Diceros bicornis minor: one gene and its partner. The protein of the gene in region 1 interacts with the protein of each later gene in a pairwise test. Links are inferred from orthologs where the notes say so. Each region holds a gene or a part of one and is shown on either strand. Other genes may lie near its edges.

Evidence for each region.
Region 2: the proteins of MIA2 (region 1) and TTC23L interact in binary tests that used the Homo sapiens proteins (3 or more experiments, as listed by UniProt). The two-hybrid records come from large-scale screens. The link is inferred for Diceros bicornis minor from reciprocal best matches to the Homo sapiens genes MIA2 and TTC23L.

Annotation. Positions count from the first base shown.
Region 1 is NC_080744.1:10,921,244-10,928,944, forward strand, and holds the start of MIA2 (melanoma inhibitory activity protein 2), read right to left. Parts: upstream 3,005-7,701; 5' UTR 2,990-3,004; coding exon 2,875-2,989; intron 762-2,874; coding exon 628-761; intron 1-627. UniProt on the Homo sapiens protein: Plays a role in the transport of cargos that are too large to fit into COPII-coated vesicles and require specific mechanisms to be incorporated into membrane-bound carriers and exported from the endoplasmic reticulum.
Region 2 is NC_080759.1:34,186,559-34,194,273, reverse strand, and holds the start of TTC23L (tetratricopeptide repeat protein 23-like), read left to right. Parts: upstream 1-4,712; coding exon 4,713-4,780; intron 4,781-7,715.

The sequences.
Region 1 (7,701 bases):
GCAGCACCAAGGAATCCCTGGGGTTGCCTAGCTATCTCATAATCTCCATCAGTAACTCTGAAGTAGGTAAATTTACTCTCCAAGTAAATATAAAATCTAAGTTCAAAAACCACACATGCTATGTAAAATAATTTCAAGGCATTCTTAGTCCTCCATCCCAACCAGACTGCTTTCCCAAAATTCTGCTTTTATGGAAATTCTGGAACCAACACTGAATATGACCATTTTTTGCTTGTTTAAATATGTTAAATGTTATATACCTATATATATACCTATATATCACTTTGAAATTCTTAAAGTTTCTTTTTTTGTGTGTGAGGAAGACCAGCCCTGAGCTAACATCTGATGCCAATCCTCCTCTTTTTTGCTGAGGAAGACTGGCCCTGAGCTAACATCCGTGCCCATCTTCCTCTACTTTATATGGGATGCCTGCCACAGCGTGGCTTAACAAGCAGTACACGCCTGGGATCTGAACCAGTGAACCCCAGGCCACCACAGCAGAGCGCGCGCACTTAACCACTTGCGCCACCGGGCTGCCCAGGAAAGTTTCTTTAGGGATGAAAAGCGAGCATCCTTGTGCAAGTTGGTCATTTATTCTGCATTCAATTTTTAAGACTAGATACTTACACTTCCTGCCCACAAATCTTCCCTTTCTCCTGCAAGTTTAATATAAACAGATATCTCTTCTCCCTTAGTGAAGTTCAGGTATCGGCAGTCAGGTCCTCTGTAATCTCTCAAGGCTAAGACTCTGCTTATTAAAGCTATGTAAGAAAAACACAAAATTTAAATTAAAATGTCATTTCTCTGCCTCCCATCTTGCCCTCCTCCAATCCATCCTATGTATTTCCAAATGCTAATTTCTTCATAACATTTATGAACTCAAAAACCTACATAGACTTCCCGCTGCTCACAGAATCAATTCTAAGCTCTTTGGCTTGGTATTCAAGGCTGTCCATAACCTGCTCCTTCTTCCCCACTTAAAATGACTTCCTCTTATTTCTTTACAGTCAAGCTCATCTATCCATTGTCCCTGGAATGTGTCGCTGTCATTCTCGTCAGTAGGGAAGGGAAGGAAAAGATCATTAGTTTTCTCCCCAGCACCTACTATATTCTAGGCATTATGATAAGCTCTTTCCTATCTTTATTTTATTAAATCCTCAAAACAGACCTATGAGGTAAATAATCTCATCTTAGGCTAACACATGAGCCTTTAACTACGTCTTAGAGGAGCCAGATTTGCACTGAGGCTCTCTTCACTCACCATCCACGTTCCATATTCTGTGCTTTTCTTTCTGCCCCTTCAGTCTCTCTTCAGGGTCAACTCATATCCTACTTCCTCTATGAGACATCCCTAATCAGTCCAGCCTACTCTGCCCCTTCTCTGAACTTCATTCTTTTTTTTTTTTTGTGAGGAAGATCAGCCCTGTGCTAACATCTGCCAATCCTCCTCTTTTTTTTGCTGAGGAAGACTGGCCCTGGGCTAACATCCGTGCCCATCTTCCTCTACTTTATATGGGACGCCGCCACAGCATGGCTTGCCAAGCGGTGTGTTGGTGCTCCCCTGGGATCCGAAGCGGTGAACCCCAGTCCGCCACAGCGGAGTGCGAGCATCTAACCACTTGCGCCACCGGGCCAGCCCCTGAACTTCATTCTTATGTTGTATCACTATTTATTGTTTCATATTGACCTGTCCTGTCACCATTCACTAGAATGAAAATTCTTGGAGGGCAAGAAACTTATATTTTATTTTCTTCTTCTTAGATCAAAACCCCCCAGCCCCTCAGACCCAGCACATGACAGGCCCTCAATAACCATGAATGATCATAACCACATATGCTAGATTTAGGCCTTTAACACATAAAGTAATATACATACCATATTAACTATTATAATTATACTAACATATGTAAAACATTTTAATTAAGTCATGCAATTAAAGTTAAAATAACATTATATATTACTATAAATTTGAATGTTCCCTTTCCATGTTCTGTGTCTGGCCCTAAGGAAACTAAAATGAGATTGTAAAGAGGGAAAGAAAGATTATTATTATTATTTAAAAAATCTAGTAAACTTTCTCTATATATTACATTACATATCCAAATGATTAAGGAAAATGTTTACTCAAAAAATTTACTTATAAATTATTTATGTTTATACTAATAATATTTTGCACTTTTAATTTACATGTTGCAAATTAGAAATAATTCTCACATACCGAAGAGATAGAACATATTTAAAGCAATTTTAATATATTGGGATGCTATTCATTCTGCACCATAATGCTAATAACAGAAAATTAAGTTTTTAAGCAATAAAATGAAAATTAATTTCTCTTGGTAAAATATAGAAGTTTAATATTCAAGGATATAAATAAAATTATGTACTCCTAACACTAATTTCAGTATTTTTACTTAATAAGTAGACACAGAAATGATTAATGTTTGATAAAATTTAGACAATAAATCACAATGGTTTGAAATAAAAACATTTTTAGAAAACTAAAAAATATAAGGGCTTCATAAATAAAGAACTATTAAATGGCTTGATATCTTTTTTAATGCAAATCAATTACATTTATCTTATAAAACAGTAAAAGATCTGATTTGTGTGTTTTTGAGGTCTGGATTAATATTTTTATAATTTCTGATATATTTATGTACCAGGCTGATCTTTGCCCCTTTGTATATTTGCATTAAAAACTATCACAAAATGCTTTGCCTCCAGCATTTCCTTTTTATAGTGAACCATACTTTATAATTGCAAATATTTTGTAACGAATTAATGCTCATTTTTATCATACATGTCCACAATAACATTTTATGTCATTTCAGAGCCTCAGTTTAAGAGGGAAAAAAAAGCAAAGCAACTTACTTTCACATTCCAAGTCACCACATTTTTTAAAGTCGGCCAGCAGTTTTGTGCCTTCCAGACACTTTGTCAGAGAAATAATCAAAAGGAGGATTCTGTGAACTCCCAGCTCCGCCATGCTAAAACAAGCAGGAACCCCAAACAAGGTTTAAACCGACTGTTTAGGCTGTAGGTCCGCCAGCCCAAACAGGAGACATCCCACTCTCTTCACTAAATACAAGAGAAAGGGGTTTGGTTCTTTTTAATCCCTTCGTAACTACATTTTTCTATCAGTGTTTAGGCTTACCTTGAGAGAAAAACACTCTCCGTTCTCAATCTGCAGTGTCAGGTATCCAGATAATACCTAAGGGTTTAATAATTAACAGAGATTTTTAGTTGGACTCACGTCTTACAAAGGTGGCCCATGTAACACTGTCTCCCTTAAAGGCACCTGGCATTCCGCAGGACAATTCCTAAGCAGGCCTCCACAAAAAGGCAGTTCATTTCTCTCTTCAGGGAGCTCGGTCAAAACGTACAAACTGAGTGTTTGCTGCATGCAGACACCAGCATCAGTGGAGAAAGTATATAGTTACATGTAGAAGCAGTAATCATTTATGTTAAAAGCATGGTTTTGAAATATCATGATGAAAGTTATTTGAAAAAATATCCCACTTTCATATTTTAAAAATCTTTGGTGTTATTACGAAGTTGAAACTTGTATTTAGTTAAGAATAATAGTTACGGGGCCGGCCCCGTGGTCTAGTGGTTAAGTCTGGCAAGCTCTGCCCCAGGGTCACAGGTTCAGATTCCTGGCACGGACTGACACCACTCACCAGTGGCCATGCTGTGGCGGGGACCCACAGACAAAATAGAGGGCGATTGGCACAGATGTTAGCTCAAGGCGAATCTTCCTCAGGGGGAAAAAAAAAGAATAATAATTAAAATGTAGTAAGTACTTATTATGTCCCAGCTACTGTCTTAATCACTTAATCATGTGATCAGATTTAACCCTCACACCAACTCTCTAAAGCGGGTAATATTATCATCCCCATTTTTGCATATGAGGAAACTGAGGTACATAGAGATGGGCTAAATCACTTGCCCAGTGTCACACAGGGAGTGGAGAAGAATTTAAACCTCAGCCCTGCGACTCCCCTTACTCATAACCGCTGTGTCTTACCACCAAGAATCAAGTCATCTGCCACAGAAAGATGTCCACGCTCTCTGCAACAATGCTATTCCAGGAACAGCAAGTACAGGCTTATTCCATATTTAAAATTGCATACATTTTTCTGTAGGTGGAGAGAATGAGAGAGATGTCTGAAAGAATCTTCCTCCATACGGTAGGAGTACACAGTGTGCTTTCAAGTTGTATTCACTTTCTTCTTTGTACTTTTCTATATTGTTTGACTTTTTTAAAATCAGTGAGGATGTATCATTTTAAAATAACAGTAAACCTATGAAAATCACGTTATTTGAATGTTATTATGGTTTACAAAAGGGATCAAAGCCCTATATTGGGAATTTTTGTGTAAAACACTAGATCTCAGTAGATTTTCAGAAACCACAGTTGTCGTACTTCACTCTTGAGAAAATATTTTTCTAAGCCTTTTTTTGCTGTACCCTCTCACTGTATCTCAGGCCTATCAGCGTGTAATCGGTTTACAGAATGCAGCCCTTGTATGACACCACACCTCCCTCTAGTGCCTGACATAAACAAGACAAATATCCAGTACCTGAGCAAACTAAAGTAAAGGACTTTTGCTTTCAAAGTCCTAAAAAAGGACGTGTGTTTTCTGTTTGTTTGTTTTCCAAAAACAATAATTAGTAGGAAGCCTGCTTTCTCGGATCAAAGATTTTTACGTCCTTAGGATCTGATAGAGCATGAATTTGAGGATCATTGGCTTGCACTCAGAGCACGGCATAGCTGTGCACATCCACACTCAAAAAGATGTAGCTTAGTTTCTTGAATACTTTTGCAAATCTATAGGCTATGTCGTCAAAGACATTTAAAGAAAGATTAGCTCTTCAGCTTCAAAATTTGGCACAGGGTTATTAGCATAATTTATAACATCAAATAGAGAATATTTCATAATTAATATACTTTATCCTTTATTGTATTCAATATTAAAGACATTACAGCTCAATTCTGCACCAATTAATTTAGTTATATTGTAAGTTAAGACAGAGAAGAACCCAGATAAATTTAAATTTGTCTATTGATTGGCCTGAAGGAGATTTGAGTCAAGAAAAACGAGAAAAATTGTTGCCTAAGATAGCAGCCTGGAGAGATTTGCTTTTATAGAAATGCTCCCACTTTCTTGCTACTTGATGCACTCAGATGATCTCATTCCATGTTTAGATTGTTATTTAAATATATCCTAACAAGATATCTGAAAATGTGGTAGCACAATGGTAACTGTATCCAACAGACTCGGATGAAGAGGTGATGGAGGAAGGGATAAGAGCATTTAGTTTAAAGAAACCAAAGTATCGAACTTTCACTATAACAACAGTCATGTTAATTTAGCCAGGTATTATCTAATTGCTGATGCATTTTTCAGATCAAGTGTTGTGTCAATATTAAAATATAATACTGCTGCTGAGGAAGATTTTATGGTAACAGTCAGGAATACTGATTTGGAAAGCCTGTAGCATTCTTCAGAAACCATACAGGAGGTAAGAGAACCTACTGCATAAAGCTAAAGAATGAATCATCAAAGCCACATATGTTCAGTATCTCAGCAATAGTATCACAGAGCAACCCTTTCCACGAGAATGTAAAGATATCATCACCAATGCTGCACTTCTACTGCTTGGTAAGGTTATTTCTGACTCTGTATAGTACTGTCTTCTCTCTCAATACCTCAGATTTCCTGAAGTGGGAACATATTTCCTTCCACCAGCTGTCTGTTAGTCTGGCAATTTATAAGATAGAGAAATTTGATTAGAAGTTGCTTGGGGAAAGCTGAGCTGAGGAAGCCAGGGTGTTTTTTTCTAGGGAGGGGGCACTAGGACAGAGCCTTTGGAAACAGTTCCCGTGGCAGACAGCTGTGCAGTGTGAGATCAAGCCCAGGAGAGACTGAGATTCAAACTGGTGTGGAAGACATGAAGGTGGCCCCCCACGCTCCCTCTTCAAGAAGAGGCTTTCTGCGCAGCTGCAGGGAGTGCAGTTAGCAGACAGCCTCCCTCTGGCAGCTACTTCAAGGTCTGCCCCAGCTGCAGAGAGCCCCCTCACCCAAGATCGCCCCTTCCCGGTGATCTAGTGAATTTGGTGAATAAATGACGAGAGAGTACAAAGGCAGGGCTGCAATGGCAGCCTGATGTGGGCACCTCTCCCTCCAGAGCTCCTGCTGGGTTGACTGAAGCTTTGTAGAGCCTGTAGTGCAGTTTGACTTCCCCCTCTGCCCAGTCCTGCTGTCTCCCTCTTCCTTTCATAGGGGTTGATCCCTTGAATTCCAACTCTGTTTCAGCCTTTACTGCGAGAGGACCCAACCTCAGAAGCTAGTGATCCACAGGTGCAAAAAGAGGAGACGGTAGAACACGCACATTTTGGCCCATCATTTGTGCTAGTCACTCCGTGGCTCTTTTTACCTTTGCTGCTTTTGTGTTGCTGAAGGCCGTGTTTCAATTCTGCCCACTTTTTCTCATTCTGTCTGTATCAGTCAGAGTTCTAGCAGGTAACAGAAGGGTATTCCATTTTGAGGGATGGCACTCCTCAACGATTGAGGAGATTTTAATGAAGGACTATTTACAAAGGTGTGGGCAGGGTTAAGGGAAACCAACAAGGGATGTAACACCCCCAGGCCTGAAGGAACGGTGTCCACTGCCTGGAGAGAACTATAGGAGAGAGCTGCCTGGCAGGAACTTGAAGCCTTCGGTAAAGGAACTCAGACAAGAGAACCTCACTCTTCTAATTTCTGATCTGATGGTAGCACCCATTGACCAAACCCAGCCAGATGCCAGAGAATAAGGGAACCCTTTGAGGCAGTCCTAAGGTCTGTGTTCCAGGGACACAGAGCAGAGTGGCAAAGAGTGGAGAGTGGATTGGGAGGAGCAAAAAGAGAATACCCCACACACTGTCATCATTCCTTTACTATGTATTTTTGAATAATAGCATGCAACATCCTCTACATCCAAGATGATATCTGTGTGATATGTGCAGATCAGGGGACTGAATTGATTACTCTCATCAATGGGTAAGAAAGAAATTTAATGTTTGTTGAGCACCAACTTTGTATCAGTGTATGTATTTCACATACACATCTCATCTTCCAGGATGGGCTTTATTTACTGAATGCCTATGATGTGTCACTCTTCTAGGGACTAGAGGTACAGGAGTGAACAGGACAAAGTCCTTGCTCTCATGGACCTTGCATGCAAATGAAGGGAGACAGACAAGAACAAGCAAACAAATAAATGAACGAGATAATTGCAGGTACTGATAAGTTATTATGCAGAAAAGTGTCTACTTAGATAAAGTTGTCAGGGAAGGCATCTCCGGAGAGCGACATTTGACTTAAGAGGAGGGAATAGGAAGGCAGACATTCTGTGCAGGGGGAAGAATTAACGAGGAAGTCGTACTTCATTGTCTGAAGTTTGATCGCCAAAGATTTAAAGAAAAAATGAAGGAGGCATATTGGATGCATTCCAGTATGTCAGAAACAAGGCTTAAAGGTGAAACTAACAGGCATATATAATCAAGAAACATAAAGGCAGATGGAGAGTGGTAGGAGATGGAGTAGGAGACAGACAGAGGTCCAATCATGCATTTTTTGTGGAAAAGAGTGTGAGTTTCATTCTAAGTGCAGTGGGAAGCCAGAGGAAGCTTTAAGGAAGGGAATGACATTA
Region 2 (7,715 bases), on another chromosome or scaffold:
CAGCTCCTGCTCACAAGGCGCTCATAGCTCATCAAACAGGGCCTGCCATCTAGTAGGTATTCAGTATTCACTGGGGGGTTGGGGGGGGTGGATGGATATTTATATGCATAGATTGCCTATAAGGCCCTGCATGACCTGATGTCCTGCTCTTCCGCTGACCAATTCTGTTTCACCTTCTCATTCTTAATTGCTCTTTTGTGCTTCCTTGAACCCATTAAACTTGCTCCTGCCTTAGGGCCTTTGCACTTGCTGTTAACATCTTCCGCTGCTCTTCTGGACATTCACATGACTTGCTCCCTTATTTCCTTGAGGTCTCTGCACCTTGTCAGAGGCCCTCATTAACTACACTATATAAGCTAGCACACCCTCCCCACAGGCTCACATCACCTCCTAGACCCATTACTTGGCTTTATCTTTCTCCATATCATTTATCACTTCCATGTAAGGTGGTTCAGCTAGCTGAGGGAGGGAGTGAGTGAGTCCTGAAATCCAGCCCACCCTCTGTTCCCAAGGTTTTCTCCCTTAGCAGGGGCCTGAGTCTAACTAAAGGAAGAGGCTTTTTCCTAATAAACACGAAGTGGCTGCCTATTCCCTAAGCCAAGCCATGCACCTTTTTCTAACTTGCACAGACGTCATATTGTTTACCAGCAGCCCTGTGTTTTTCTTCACCCAGTAGAGCAGAAGCTCCAGGAGAGCAAAATCTTTGTCTATTTGTCCATATTGCTTCCCTAATGCTTACAACAGTATCAGGCACGTAGTAAGTATTCAATAGGTATTTCTGTCTGGGTGGATGGACAGATGCATGGCGTGAGAAACTTGCAAGTAAACAGAGAGGGCCAATATAGTGTGGTGAGTGTCATGATGCAACTGTGGACAGGATACTGTGGGAGCTCAGAAGTAAGGCATCTAACCCTGTCTTGAGAGGCCAGAAAATCTGTTTCAAGAAATTACACAGTCCAAGAGACAGGTTATGCGCATTTCCTTCTTCTTAAGTTTCACACTTCCTCGAGTTGGAATAATTTGGAGATCATCACACTTGATCTGGGTTGGAAGAGTCTAGAAGTACCCTCTCCACAGGCTTCCTTTGTGTGATTTCTGCAATAGCAATGCTTGCTTCTTTGACCTCAGGATCAAGGGAGGGAATGTGAGTGAATACATCGTGACAACACCATCCACCTAGATTACACGCACCACATCCCAGCGTCAGTGAACAAAGCTCAAGCACACCTGCTCTAACTAAGCTTCCATTTGCCGCCAGGGTTCAGAGGGCAAGAGAAGGAAAAAATATCACAGGGGTTTGCAACGCTAAGAGTCTTTACAGTTCCTTTAATTTGATTTTTTTTTTTAAGATTTTACTTATTTATTTTTTTTCCCCCCAAAGCCCCAGGAGATAGTTGTATGTCATAGCTGCACATCCTTCTAGTTGCTGTATGTGGGACGCGGTCTCAGCATGGCCGGAGAAGCGGTGCGTCCGTGCGCACCGGGGGTTCGGAACCCGGGCTGCCAGCAGCGGAGCGTGTGCACTTAACCGCTAAGCCACAGGGCCGGCCCCTTTAATTTGATTTCTACTCTTTACAGATCAGAGCAACGTGCTTCTGGCCAGAGCTAATTAAATTCTGGAGGAGACGGTGTGTCAGCTTTAGGAACGGGAATTCAGCACCTGTTCTGGTCCCGCACGTCCCTTTACAATGATCGGCAAAAGCGAGTGTTGAGGAAAGAGACGCCACGTTTAACACGCTTAGAAACCACCTCATAGCCATCTCCTAGAAGGACAGAACACTTCAAGTTTTCAGTTTGATAAAGAGCAACTTAACAAGGGTAAGCGAAATAAGAATTAGAGAACAGGAAACTGGTTCTTCCTTTTTATCACCACACATGTTAAATATTGTTGATAGAGTCACAAAAATCTGCAGTTTACCCTCACAGAATCCTGAAACTGAAAGGGGTTTTAGAAAGCAAGGGGTACAAATACCGTCACTGTATAGGCAAGAAAATTGGGTCCCCTAGGCTGTGACTTGCCCCAGGCCACATCAAGTCAAAACCAGAACCTTGACATCTTGAAACCAAGTTCATTGCTCTCATGATGGTTCCATGCTGACAGTTTCCTTAGGAAACAGAATAAAAGGAGTGGGATCTTTCTAAACTTTTGGCCCAGGAGCTTGAGGAGATTTAAACCTTCTGCCAACAGGCCCACCAGGTTTTACTCAAGAGATTTTTAAGCCAACTTATTTAAATCGCTCCTCCAACCTAACTCCAGAAAGGCTATCTTGGCAGTCTTGGATCAAGAGTAATTAAACTTCAACCTTAGAACTGAAAAGAACACCAAATGTAAACACGACCTTTCAAGTTCTTAGTAAATATTTTCCTCCTGTCTCGTCCGAGCCTGCTCTTCTGTGAAAACGAGAGGGACATAACCAACTCCAACTTGACTTGTCCATTCATAGGTCCTCAGTTCATTGCAGGGCTCATGACAACACCCTTAAACGCGAGGCTGCCGGAGCCAGCGCTGTTCTTTAGGGTATTGGCCACAACTGTCCCTGCCCCTGTCAGATCTGAGTTACCGTCACCACTGTATGTACTTTGGGCCACTGAAGAGGGGTAATATAAGAATACACGGCTGCGTAACTTAGGTATGTGGTGTTTGCCAAATGTGCCCACCACCCTCGAAAATATTCTCTGAACTGCTAACAACTAGCAGAACTAGTGGTCCATTTCTTAAGCTACTCCCTTCCTGTACTCCGCCTTCCTAACGAAGCATAGCTCACATTCTCATCCGCAGAGGCAACAGACAGTGCCAGCACCATCAATGGTTATATCTGAGCCTTTCCTCCCTGGCCGGAGCCAGAACACCCGGGGAACTGCGGGGGTGCACGGTGTCGCCGAATACAGCCCGGTGCGTCGCAGCTTGAAATAAATAGGGTCGTGGGGCCCGGCGCTTATTTCCATCCTTTGACGCGATTTATCTCCTCTCCCTGCGTCTTCATCTCCGAGAGGTAAAGTCCCTTTAAGAAAAACAATAGTGGACGATTCCGCCGCAGCAGAGGGAAGTTTGGGGACCGGCCTAATGTCGCGTGCGTCGTGACCGGGAAGCGAAGGGCGCGGCGGAAGCTGTAGTTGGCAGGAGCCGCCGGGGATTCCGGCCCCCGCGTCGCCATGGCTACAGGCGCCGACGCTCCCAGCGTCCCGTTCCCATGGCAACCCCATTGTTTCCGAGCCGGCGCCCGGGCGGCCGGCGCGAAAGGCAGACCCTGCAGAGCGCCTCGCTTCCTCAAGACACGCTTGCGGCGCGCTGCACGACGTCCGCCGAGGCCGAGACGCTGACGCCGCCCGAGGCAGCCGAGCTGCGGGGTACAGGGAGCCGGGGAGGCTGCTCCGGGGCGTGGCTTCTCTGCCCCCCGCCAGGTACGCCGCGCGACGCTGGCCCGCAGCCGCCCTCCCCCAGCTTTCCGGCCAGAGCCTCTGCGGCGGGGCACTCCCCGCAGGAGAGAAGCCTGGGGAAGCTCCGACGATGCTCGGGGTGTGGCGTCAGGGTTTAAAGTTACGGCGAAACAACTGCCGAAAAGAAGGCAGCGATTTGCACTTGAGAGAGGGGCCGAAGTTTGGTGTTATAATTCAGGGCCGTGTGGAACCTCATAGGAACAGAAATGAGGAGTTTGAGAAGTCGAAACCCTCTCTCTGGCCATAATTTTGAAGGTAGCGATTGGAAAGAGAAATTAGTGAATCTTCCCTTCTCGTTTGTGGATTGTGGATGTTTTGGAGCCTGAGTCAGAGAGAGCTACTGAGGGCTCAGGTGGGAATGAGTCCCATTCTGCAGGGTGAAATGAGGAGCGACGTGGTGGGTGTTAATGTTCAGTAAATAACTGTGCATTCAATTTGGATTTAAGCGACAGGGATAGCCATGAAGGTTGAAGTTCACAAATAGTTATAAATCAGTTTTTTTTTTCCCCTGAGCTAACATCTGTTGCCAATCCTCCTCTTTTTGCTGCGGAAGACTGGCCCTGAGCTGACATCTGTGCCCATCTTCCTCTGCCACAGCATGGCTTGATATGCCCTGCATAGGTCAGTGCCCAGGATCTGAATCCGCAAACCCCGGGCTCCTGAAGCAGAGTGCAGGAACTTAACCGCTACACGGCCAGGCTGGCCCCATAAGCCAAATTTTTTGCCATGAGTTTCAGCCATTTCCCCCATCAGCTAATGAGAGCAATCCAGATAGACACATGTGTTTTAGCTTCTTAACTAGGACCACCTATTAAATAGTGAGATGGTGCTAGGGACCAGGAGAATTAGCTAATACCCTGGCCATACTTCATTTAGTACTGAGAGCTGGTTGCTTTGCTTGGATCCATCTTGCTCATACTTGCAAAAACAGTATCTGACTTGAGTAGGAGACCATAGTTTTGATGATTCAGGAGCTGTAAATGTGTTGGCTTAAGGGGTAAAAAAATAGGTCAGGGATTTTGGAGGTAATGTGGAGTAGAAATTAAAGGAAAGAAATTTAATTCACAGATTTAATTTGGCAAATGTCTTTAATTTCTCCTTTCCAGGGGTCTCCGTACATGAGTGTGCATAGGCTGTTTGTAGATTTAGGATGGGTTATATCTTCACACAGTTTCAGTTTAATGTTAATAGCGTCCAACAGAGGGAAAATAGAACAGACTTGTAAGCCCTTTCTTCCAAAGCTGACCTCACATGCGATTCTTAGAAGGAAGAAGATGCAAGCCAGTCCCATCCGCATCCCAACTGTCAGCAGTGACACCGACTGGGACTTCTGCTTCCATCTGTAAGTACCACAGAACCTTGACGTCACACTCGCTCACTGGCCTGAAACACTGGGACCTCCCACGTAAGGCAAACCTGGGTGAGGAACTTTGCACACACATTATTTAGAAGAGAAAGCTGAGCTTCTGTGATGTGTTTAATAATGATTCTGCTGTAATATCCACTTGTACTTATGCAAGATGGAAAATAGCTGTTTTTTCCTAACTTAAGGGAAATTTTAATTTTTTTATGAAGATAGGTTAATTATAACAAGATTGGTAAAGTCACAGAGAATTATATATCACAAAGTAAATTAAAATTGTTTCATGAAATAGACAATAGAAAATTTCACATCATAATAGCTAATACTTATTGAGCAAATGCTATGTGGCAAACACTGTTGTAAGTACACCTGTTAACTCATTTAATTCCCCCAACAACCCTGTGAGGGAGGTACTGTTATTAGCCTTTTTTATAGATAAGGAGTATGAATCAAAGAGAGATCAGGCAGTTTGTCCAAAGTCACATGGCTCGTAAGTGGTATTCAAATTGAGTAGTCTGACTCTGGAGTCCACTCGTTAACCACTCGTTAGCCTCTATAACAGTGTTTCTCAGCCTTGGCACCACTGACGTTTTGGGTTAGATAACTCTGTTGTGGGACTCTGTCCTGTGCATTGTAGGATGTTTAGCATCATCCCTGGTCTCTACCCACTAGATGCCAGTAGCAGTGCCCCAGTTGTGACAAGCAAAAATGTCTCTAGACATTGCCAAATGTCCCCTGGGGGCAAAATCACCCTTCGTTGAGAACCATTGCTCTATACCAATGCTGTTGAATAGAAATATAATGCAAGCCACAAATGTAATTTTAAATTTTCTAGTAGCTATATTAAAACATAAAAAGAAACAATTGAATATAATTTTAATACTATATTTATCTCAATATATCCAAATGTTATATAAAATAATTAATGAAATATTTTACACATTTTTCATACTAAGTCTTTGAAATTCAGTGTGTGTTTTGCACTTACAGCGCACCTCGATTCAGACTAGCCACATTGCATGTGCCTAATAGCTGGTGTTTCTTAATGTGGCTGGTGGTTACTGTATGGAATAGTGTAATTCTGTACTACCTCAGAAAAGGTCTTGAGGTTAAGTGTTATATAACTATAAGAATTGAAGTTAAAAATGTAGAGTTCACAGAGAGTATCTTGGAAATAATCAGATAATTCATATTTAATATTACTAGTCAGAATTCATAGTCATGATGGGAACATATAGAATAAGTTGTAAACCTGGCAAGGCAGACCTTTCATTCAACCTACCTACTCTCTTTATTCTGACTGTCCTGCGAGATATCTGACTGTTCAATATTCTCTATCTTTCTTCTGTTTCACACTAGTTCAGGGCTCTGCATTGTCAAATCATTTGTCAAGACCTTGATGTTTCTCCTTCCTTTGAAGTCTCCATTGTTGAAGCTTGCTGCCTTGGTCTCAGCTTAATTTTGTTTAAGCCTGAATTTAAAACATTTAGGACTTAATAATTTTTAATATCCATAATTAGCTATCTCTTTGGTGACTCCAATAGATTTGACTTCTGCTCCAGGTCTGTGAAATATGCAGCCTACGCAAAATCTTCTATTGAGGGACTAAATTTTCTTTCTGTTAGGTTTTTTGAGTTATGGTCTCTTTCCACAGATTTCCTCCACCAGCAATATTTTTCAAGCATCCTAAAGACTTTGCACTTTGTTTTTTCATTCATTGGCTCATCATTTAACAAGCCATCATTTGTTTTACCTGTGAGCTAGGTATCAGGGTTTCAGAAACAAATAAGACTCAGCCCTGGCCCTGTTGGAGTTTACTTGCTGGAAAGTAAAGAAGACTCAGAAACAAAACAAATGAGTTTTGAAAATGAGACTATAGTGTGATTTACGCTATAGTAGAAGTTGAGAGGAAATTTTTGCATGCCCTTTGGAGAGTGTCTCTACTGCTAATCCACTGTGAGGCTTGAGCCGAGGTGACATGTGAGTGGGTCCTGAAGGGGGAGTACAGAATTCACCAGGCAGAGCAGAGGCATCTTCTGATCACATCGCATCGCCAGCCTTCCCTGGCTTTTTCATTGAGTTTGCATGTCTTCTGAAAGCACACTTCTGTTTGTGGGCAGAAGGCAATCCTGCCAGGGCTTGGCTTGAAGAAATCTTGCTCTCCTATCCACATGACCTGGTTTGCCCACATGCTTCTGGCTAGGTTATTTAGAACAGGACTCTGTGTGGATATTAACATGTCATTTTCAAACGTGGTGTAAAAGATTACACTTACTTATTTTCCTTTCTGAATTTTCTTTTTTTTTTTTTTTTTTACAGTGAACATCTATTACTTATCTAATCAGTGGAAAAGGAAGTTAAATTTTATTTTAAAAACTATGCAAGGGTTGAAATTTAAAAACTATTGAGAATACAAAGGTAATTCCTTTTGGGGACTTACTTATAATTAATTAAATTTCTCACGTTGCTCTTAAGATCTCAGAATTCGGTTTCTTATGGCTCACTTTGATTTTTCTGGTTATGTTAGGATATGGTTATCTCTTCTGTTGTATAAGATTAACTCTTTTGACTTTTGTCTTTACCATTCGAATTACCCATTCATAATTATGTGCATCATTGAAGTCAGAGATCTATATTGTGTGTGTGTGAGTGTGTGTGAGAGAGATAGAAAGAGAGAGAGAGAGAGGCAGGTGAGGGGACGGGGGAGATTTTCAGCTTACTCAGTTCTTTCTCAACACGTTTACTTCTAACACAGCTGAGGAGGCCATTTCTCTTCTGAGTCTGCTCTTGACCCAGTGTGGGGTTCCCGCCCCTCTCCTTGGTGGGACCACATCCTCTTTAGTTAGTTAGCCTTTACAGATTTTTTTTTAAGAAATATGCTTTTAAGAAATATGAAGCTTTTAAGAAATATGAA